Linked DNA regions of Kluyveromyces lactis. The protein of the gene in region 1 binds, or shares a complex with, the protein of each later gene. Links are inferred from orthologs where the notes say so. Each region holds a gene or a part of one and is shown in the gene's direction. Other genes may lie near its edges. The genes, in order: SPC98 and SPC97.

Evidence for each region.
Region 2: the proteins of SPC98 (region 1) and SPC97 are in contact, whole or in part, in a cryo-EM structure (PDB 7M2W), measured with the Saccharomyces cerevisiae proteins. The link is inferred for Kluyveromyces lactis from reciprocal best matches to the Saccharomyces cerevisiae genes SPC98 and SPC97. Residues at the interface, in NP_014273.1 of Saccharomyces cerevisiae: Ser163, Ser164, Val165, Thr166, Leu167, Arg168, Leu170, Ser171, Tyr174, Tyr175, Asn177, Thr178, Asp203, Glu205, Gln206, Ile207, Gln208, Ile209, Pro210, Ser211, Lys212, Ile213, Pro214, Asn215, Phe216, Ser218, Gly219, Leu220, His222, Leu223; in NP_012042.1 of Saccharomyces cerevisiae: Met1, Glu2, Ile3, Lys4, Glu5, Asp8, Arg9, Ala10, Glu11, Leu12, Thr16, Ile19, Pro20, Leu21, Leu22, Gly23, Lys24, Leu25, Val26, Asn27, His28, Gln29, Pro30, Leu31, Trp32, Asn35, Pro36, Lys37, Leu38, Phe41.

Annotation. Positions count from the first base shown.
Region 1 is NC_006042.1:2,258,446-2,262,966, reverse strand, and holds SPC98 (Spc98p), read left to right. Parts: upstream 1-1,469; coding exon 1,470-3,950; downstream 3,951-4,521. Other genes in the region: FAR11 (Far11p), read left to right, coding at 1-1,157; ESBP6 (Esbp6p), read right to left, coding at 4,002-4,521. UniProt on the Saccharomyces cerevisiae protein: Involved in microtubule organization by the microtubule organizing center, the spindle pole body (SPB). Probably part of the microtubule attachment site at the SPB.
Region 2 is NC_006037.1:800,117-804,357, forward strand, and holds SPC97 (gamma-tubulin-complex subunit SPC97), read left to right. Parts: upstream 1-1,256; coding exon 1,257-3,539; downstream 3,540-4,241. Other genes in the region: drug-responsive transcription factor PDR1, read right to left, coding at 1-665. UniProt on the Saccharomyces cerevisiae protein: Involved in microtubule organization by the microtubule organizing center, the spindle pole body (SPB). Probably part of the microtubule attachment site at the SPB.

The DNA of each region.
Region 1 (4,521 bases):
CTGGTGTGGTAGACGAACTTAGTAATAAGCTGAGTATTGCGGTGCCTGAGACAGTGTTACCGTATAACATGCAAGAAGCAATCGAAATTTTGTCAAAATCTGTGCATATAAAACTATCTACTAAACAACTATGGCATGAAAGAGAATTATTTATGGTGCAAGAACGAGGATGGACAAACACTGAGGTACATGAGAAGGACCCATTCACGTATAGAGGTATACAGAATGAGGAACCTGAAACCATGAATCGCATCGAAGATTATTATGCTAATGCTTTACCCCATTTTTCATCTCTAGTATATGTTCTATTAGAAACTATTGAAACTTGTATGTCAAACAAAGTATACCTTGAAGAGGATTTTTCTGAAGAAGAAATTAATGAGCTTCAACCACAATTGGAACTTATAAGATCAAAGGAAATTGCAATGGAATCGAGTTCTGCCATACTTTTCCTCCTTTTAAAATGGTTTAAGGTTAGCCACTTTCTTAAATTTGAGTATCTTTGCTCGTTGATTTACGATTCAAAGTTCATTACGACAAGCGTAGGCATCCTTCAATCTTTTACTGATCAATATCAAAACAGAATTTACTCTAAACATTTACAACCTACCCATTCTTTTTGGAGTGAATGTTCTTTATACAATGTTCAATATAAAGAAACTCTTGAGATATCAACCGCAAATGAGAAAGCAAACAGATTAAATCTCCGAATGCTCAATTCCGAGGTGTATCTATTACGAGTGTTATCCAAAATAACTGGGAAAAAGACACAAAGGCTAAAAGACCTACCACTTAATGTTAGTAACATATTCAAGGCATTGTATTCTATCTTTAATCTGGACATATACCACCCCATATTAAAGATAATTCACGAATTGGCACCATTCAAGAATAAAAGATGGAGGGCAGATCATATGGAATTGATTTCTGGAGTGTTCTTACATGAGAAACTTCATTTAACAGATAACTGGATAACAGGGAAGGATATCACGGGCGAGATCAACGATTCCTATGGCCAAGAAATTGCTTTACGGGCCATGCTGCAATTCTACAATTTCTATCACTATAAAAGAACTATGGAACATTGCGGGTACGATGACAAATTCTCTAACTCTTTCTTTTCAAGGGAGGCTGAACTACTCTCTGCTCCTTATTAAAAAATATGGCATAATAATAAGTTAAACAAATGTATTATACATGTACTGTATTGATATATATATTATGTATACATGTATGTCTGCATATGTCTTTCCTTCAATCCTTGTGATGGTCACCAAAGTCAATCACGTGACTATTTCACAACCTTTTTCACTTTATGTTTACATCATTGGATACAACAACAGTAGATCGATATTGTTTTGTGAAAATATCAACAAACAAGAACGATTTGTGCGCTAAAGTGAAAGGTAAAAGATGTGAAAAAGAGCCTCTTCCCCTATCTCTACTGTGGGGTAACGGAAAAAACAATAATGGACCAAAAATTTGGCACATGTGTACTACACATGCTTCCTGCATCTGCTGGCAGTGCGTATTCTCAGCAATTAATTCAGGACCTTTACTACTCTATCAAAACATCATCAAAGGAAAATGTCACAAAAGTATTGGAATATTATAAAAAAATAATGGTGCAACGCAATCAGGACATGAAAAGTTGGTCTCATTTAGAAATGTTTGCCGGCATCATGTGCCATCTCTCAAGTCCGGAAGAAAAACATAAATATTTACTGCAATGTTTGTCACTTTTAGACAAAAACGATGAGTTGTATGATATGAGAGAACCAATGTCGAAAGAAGTGATAGAAAATATACAAAGGAAAACAACGGAAAGCGTCTATGCGGATTCTTTTGAGAATTTTGAGAAGGTATCGGACAGAAGGTCAATTGGGTCCTATGGGGGAAATGCTTGGCAACATAGTTCATCTGATGCTACATTACAAAGCTTATCAGATCCATATTTCAGCACAATGGTATCGAGGGCCGATATCGTTAAAAGTATACCCTATCTTGTGTTGGGAACACCCTCTACTTTATTCGAACTAAAAGACAAGAAGTTCACAATACCCAGCAATATTCCGAACGGAGAAAGCCAACAGTTGCATGATATCGTTGAAGCAGGCTTACTTTACTTGCACCTTCAAATTAGAGTGGAATATCTTAAAAAACATGTTACCACCAGTACACTAAAAGTAGCATTTTTGACATTGATTCAAAGTAAACTTCGAGATTATAGTAATTTCGTCAACAATTTCTCATCCCACTTACATCCACTCGATCCATTATGTTTTACATATCAACACCTCTATCCTGAAGTACTAAAACTAAGGACATATATGGAATATATTGAAAACTTTGAAAAAAGCAGTGCAGAGGGATTACTATCTGTATGCCAGTTACAAAAAAGTAATGGTGATCCAGTACTCGAGAAATTTGCATCTGATGCGTTAGAGCGTCTTTTACAACCCTACATGAAGAACATATGCGATTGGTTGATTGATGGAAAACTGGATTCAAATGTTAGTAGTGACTTTTTTGTTCAAAATGACGAGAAAGAACCATTGGGATTGGTATTCTTGCCACAGAAAATTCCAAAATTTATACCGTCTTTAGTGGCCAAAAAAATATACATTATTGGAAAGTCCCTCCGATATCTCGAACATTGCTGCAGCGAAGTTGAATGGATTGGAAAATTTGCAAATAAGTATTCATTGCAATATAGGCTATTAGGCCCTTCAATGGATCACAAATTTTTCGAATTGGTTAACCAGCAATATGGTGAAATTAACCACTATATCAACACCACATTACGATCGAAATTTTATTATTTCGAGACTCTCAACCTTTTAAAAGATATCCTTCTAATGGGTAAAAGCGATGTGATTGATTCTATTATTCAAAACTCGGAAAATCTCTTCAACCAACCTTCTCAACTTTTAGAAAGCCATCATTTAACGAAGTGTCTACAAATCGCAATTCAACAATCATCTCTGAGAAATAGATTGAACAAATCAGATAACAATCTCTTGGTGAATAGGCTTGATGCTAGAATTTTGGAATTAGCACATGGATCTTCGGGTTGGGATGTTTTCACATTAGACTATCTCGTGGATCAGCCTCTTTCAACAGTAATGGATATCAACCAACACGGAAGCCGCAGAGATTATCTGAGAATTTTCAACTTCTTATGGAGAATTAAAAAGAATGAGTACAATTATGAACAAGAATGGCAAAAAAATTCATCCATTCTTAAACTTTTTAGAAAGCTGAACATCAGGGTTCCATTTATTAGGGATTTACTGAATAAAGTTTCAATGATCAATGTTTTAAAGAATCAGATTCAATCTTTCACTAAAAAAGTTGAAACATATTGTTTCGAGAGTATTATTGAACATGAATTTAGGAAGCTTCTTTCGAATCTAAATCATAAAGATACCGATCCAACCTCCTCGGTTAAAGTTAAAGTGCTTAGAAATGGGGTAAAAGTCTCAAGCGGTGTTTTAAAACCTGATCTTCATTTTATCGAAAACTTCAAAGAACTTACGACAGATGATGTTAGCGGCTATTCTTCATTTGATCTTGAGGATCTAAAAAGAGCTCATTCTGTATTCTTATCAAATATTTTGAATCATCCAATTTTATATTCAGGTTCAGGTGCTTCGCTTGGAACATACACTCATCAGCTGTATCCAACTACTTTGGTTTTATTGATGGATATGAGTTATGAGTTTGTGCTAAATTACTCTGAGCTAAATAACGTCATTCATGAGATTTGCATTCAGATGAACTTAGATCCTAACCAAAATTTGCATGACCCGATAATGAGATTCAATGTAATTTCAAAGAAGTTGGTTGATCAATGGAAGGATTTTGATAATGAATGCAATGCTTATATCAAGGATTTGAAGTGGGATGAAAATACTGAAATAAATAAACTAAGTAAGATACTTCACTAATGCTACTTTTATAGACGGAAGAAAAGAATAGATGACTCTGTGGAAAGAGTTTTATACATGCATTGGATAAAACATTCTTGCAAAGTAGCTTTTGATGCCTGATCCAAGTAAGTAATCATACTTGATCTCTCTTTCTCTCAAGATGTTATTGTCTTTTTCTGATAAGTTTGAATCATCATAATCCTTTAACCGTTGCAAATTTATCGTTTGTCTTTCTTTTATCTTTATCTTTGCTGTCACCTCCCGCAATCCCAATATAAGGAGTAATGCCGCAACGAAACAACATCCCGCAAATATTTGAGTGTGGAGATATGGGTCGTTGGAGTTGGGTTCAGTCAACGCTTGTGCAATAACTTCAGCAACAAGCATGAATGGAGAGCCCACCAAGTTAACATAACCCCAAGCGGGCAAAAAATCTACCGGTCCAACGATGTCAGCAACTAGCACGGTGTTCATAACATTAGCTACACCAATACATAGACCGACACATATTGAAAACCCGATTAAAGATGAATAACTGTCAGCAGGGATCCAAAAACCGAACATGAAAATTGTTAAAAGTAACGTTAGC
Region 2 (4,241 bases), on another chromosome or scaffold:
TCTATTTCCGCATTAGAAATGTATAAAATTGGGTATCGATTGATGTCATCACTAGATGGATCGTTGATATTCGTTGAGGCATCATCTTTCACAGGATCAAAGCGTCTTGGACATGAAAACCCAACAGGGTGACTCGTCTGTGTCACTGACATGGACCCGGTGGCACTAGGACCCGAACTAGAATCTCTCCCAAATGATGATCTCGATGAGTGTAAATGACTCTGTACTCCAGTAATTGTAGCCTCACTAAAACCTGTTCTAGAAGGTGCGTAGGAGTTCCCATCTATTTCGGGATTCAAAATAGCTACTGTACTATTTGGTATAGACTGTACCGATAATTTTTCCTTTGTGAAAGCAGATGAATCACTCTTGGCAGTTTTTTTCTTGCCCTTTGCGACCCCATACGGAGCATGAGAATAAACACATTCACAGCCATATGTCTCGCACGATTTGCAAGGCAATGTTCCAGAACATTTAATCTTCTTTTTCCTGCAACTATCGCAAGCTCTGCTAACTTTCCTTCTTGGTTTACCAGTGCCGTTGCCATTACTATCTCTAGGAATTGCAGTTCTGTCCCCATTCACCCCAGAAGAAGCACTATCTGACCTTGCAGCTTCTTCAGAAAGCCCTGGAGGAGAAACGGCAGGTTGAAATATGTCAACCATCCTCCGATAATTTATTATGTTGTATTTTGTTTTATTGCGTTACTCTTATGTCGTTCCGCTCAAACAAAATCCTAAAACCCCTAAAAACCCACTAGAAAAGCACTTTTCACTCAAAAAATCATGTAGTATTAATTGAGGATACCAAATTTTTTATTTGCACTCATTCATGACACCAAATATAGATTTAGGTGTATATGAAAACGATTTATTTACAGATCAAATACTCAAAGTCATCGTTATTAAATCTGAATACAGGCTGAATAATGGGTTTTTCATTATGGCTTTGTAATTTTTCACTTTTCTTAGTGAACCAAAAGTTACCCGGATATAGAGCGCATCTCATCGTAGCGCTAAGGCGCGCGTCTAATTATCCAGCGAAATGATTTTACAAAAACATAAACATAAACATAAAAGATGTTTAAGTTAAATGTAAACAATGAAGATAACCAACCATTCCACCGCTTAATACCTATAGAACGATTGTGTGATCCTGTAGCACATTTGGTAACATATAATCAGTGAAGTCAGTGTGGATTTATCAAAAATTAAACTAGAATTAGCATATTGTTGCATTGAAAGACGAACAAACGAATGGAGGATCGCGGTGTTGTTGAGAGCGTGTTTCTACTTAACGATAAGGTAGGACCGTTTGGTCGTCGAGTGAACCCTGCTCCACTGTGTAGCGAAGAGATTAAAGTTAGGACGTATCCGATTGAAAAAACTAGCAATGATAGGGTACAGGAAAGCTTGGTAGTTCGGGATTTGTTACTTGTGTTGCAAGGGTACGAGGGAGTGTACATCCGGTACAATAGCAGCTATAGAAGAGATTCGATGACCGGTCCCGAGTATAAAGTTGTTAAGATGATGAATGTTACGTTTAAGAGTTTTAGTAAAAAATTGATCAAGATAGGATCAATATTTGTGAAATTAGATAAATTCCAGCAATGGTGTTGCGACGAGAGATACGGTAGAGTAATGCACCGCTTGGGCCATGAGGTACGCATATTTTTGTATGAAAATTACTTGAGTTGTATCAAGGAGTTGGAAATACGGTTTCAGCAAGATGTGAAGTTCAGTATACGAGATTTGGAGATGGTACTTGAAGATGGATTCATATACAAGTTTAGACTTTTAGATCAGATAGTTGATCGGATTATGGACAGTACCAGGGAACGGAGTGAAATGGATCGAGTTCAAATGGATTTTAACAATTTCATGGATGATCTAAGGCGAGATACGAATGACGAGTTAGATCTACGTGTACTATACGATACCCGGGTTTCCTTATTCGTGAAAGGAGGATCCTTAATTATCATAGTACAACAGATAATGGAACAAGAACAAGGTGATATAAGACACGTTGAATTTTTATCCCTAATATGCGATTCTCTTAACCGTGTTTACGGTCAGATGTTTGTTGAATGGATGCAAGAGGGAAAATTGAACGATTACCATGAAGAGTTCTTGATAAGTGATACGGTCGCCGATGTGGACGAAGAAAAATTGGCTAATACGATAGATAATGAAAGGTTATGGGATACAAGGTTCGTGATACGGAAGGATGGATTACTTCCGCAATTTCGCGATAAAGAATTGCAACAGAAAATATTGATGACGGGTAAAATTTGGAATTTAATCGCCATATGCTGCGGAAACACAGCTCTTAAACCTAGATCCTGGGGAACTAGTGTCACTAACATCGATATAACAAATATGACCTTCTTGAAAGGGTATGTCAACGAATGTTACCAACAGGCTAACGAAAAGTGTCTCAAGATGTACTACGAAGGGTACCACATGGATAAATTTCTGAATCTGATACACGATCAGTCGTATGTACATGGAGTCATCGATCAATTATGGAACACCAAATTCTTAAGTAAGACGCTATTCGAGTTAACTCGAAGTCCGACAGAGTCTACGTTGCACAAGATTCAAAGGCATTTCGATGACATCTTAAAAGAAATTTCCGTAGAAGATACCTATAGACACATGATATTATCTAAATTGACCAGCGTGAAGATTGATACATGCCCATTTTACGAGACTCTAAGACAATTCATTGATGAACAAGAAACTGGGTTGCTAAACGCCGATAATTTCCAACAATTAAAGGGGATGCTAGTCGCTGAAGAACAGAATCATACTTCACAGGGCTCAAATGAACTCGATGAAGGGAGGAAGAGCAAAAAAAAGAAAAATGCAACCCCAACTGCAATGTATGTACAATTCGAAACAAGCATACCGTATCCTTTGAACATAATATGGACGAAACCAGTGATGGTACAATATCAAATGATACAAAGGTTATTATTGATACTCTCATATCATGAAAGGTTACTAGAGGACACGTGGTTCGAAATCAGTAAGAACAAGCATTGGAGACGCAACTCTTCCCAGCAAAGTGAATACGAGACGCATGGGATGATCTTCGAGGACAACAATGACGATGATGATGATGGTGTTAGATATTTCTACGTTAGAGGTCAATGTATCAGGTTAGCTCGAATATTGCACTTCCAGATGAGATCAATGGTGAAAAGTAAAAGAAACCAAGTTACGTCTGCTGCCGCTGCTGCCACAGCCGTTGCCGCGACTGGAACCCACCCAATGCAGGAAGACCTCTTACAGATTCAACAACACGTACAGGACCACGTGACCAACATCGTATCCCTATCTGGATTAACATCACTGCCACAGATCGAATTGCAAGAAGCCACACTTCACGTGATCCACTCGTTCATCAGGTTTGTAGCTTCATGGCGCAGGACTTCTGATGATGAACTATCTGGCTCATCCGGATGGATCACAAGGATGGATACCCTCAGACAGTACGTTTCCGTATGGAGCGATCTTACAAGAACCAACAGTTGATCCTATTACTTTTTTTTTATTTTTTGTCCCTCCGGGATGGCAAGAGGGACAAAGAAGAATCTTCGTTCTTCTTTCTTGTTCTCAACTTCCCAGCTTCCGTGTGATTACCCTCCGGGACAACAGAAAAACTGGCATTCGGTATCCCGGGAATCTGCTGAGAAGGAAAGAAAACGAAAAAAAAATTGTACATTTGTGTCACATTATGAATTACAGGAAGTCAGAAAACAGGCAGCACATGTCTCGCACATGCATGTCCATCAGACGAGACATTATGAGACATGCACGCGTGTGAGAGACATAGCAAAAGTCTCTCCAGTACACACAGAAAGACACGTTCACAATCCAGGCACCCCACAGAGAAAAAAAAAAGAAGAAGCCCGGAAGCTGGCACGCCATCATCAACCACCGCTCGGTTTACACGCATCCCAACTGTCTTTTTTTTCTGGAATCCTATAATAACTGGCATCTGGAAATCACGTTGTATGTTGCACCATAGTGACTGGCTGTCTGACTAGCAAACATTGATTCCCTGATTCCCATTTGGCTCAATTTTGATGAGAAACAGTTGATTGATTCTTGTCAATTTTTTTTTCTTTGGACCACCACCAACCAATTGACATTGAAGTACTTTCCCATGATTTGAGGTTATATAAAAGGACGTTCAAATCACTTTCAAGGTTAATTCAGTTTTGTCAATTGATT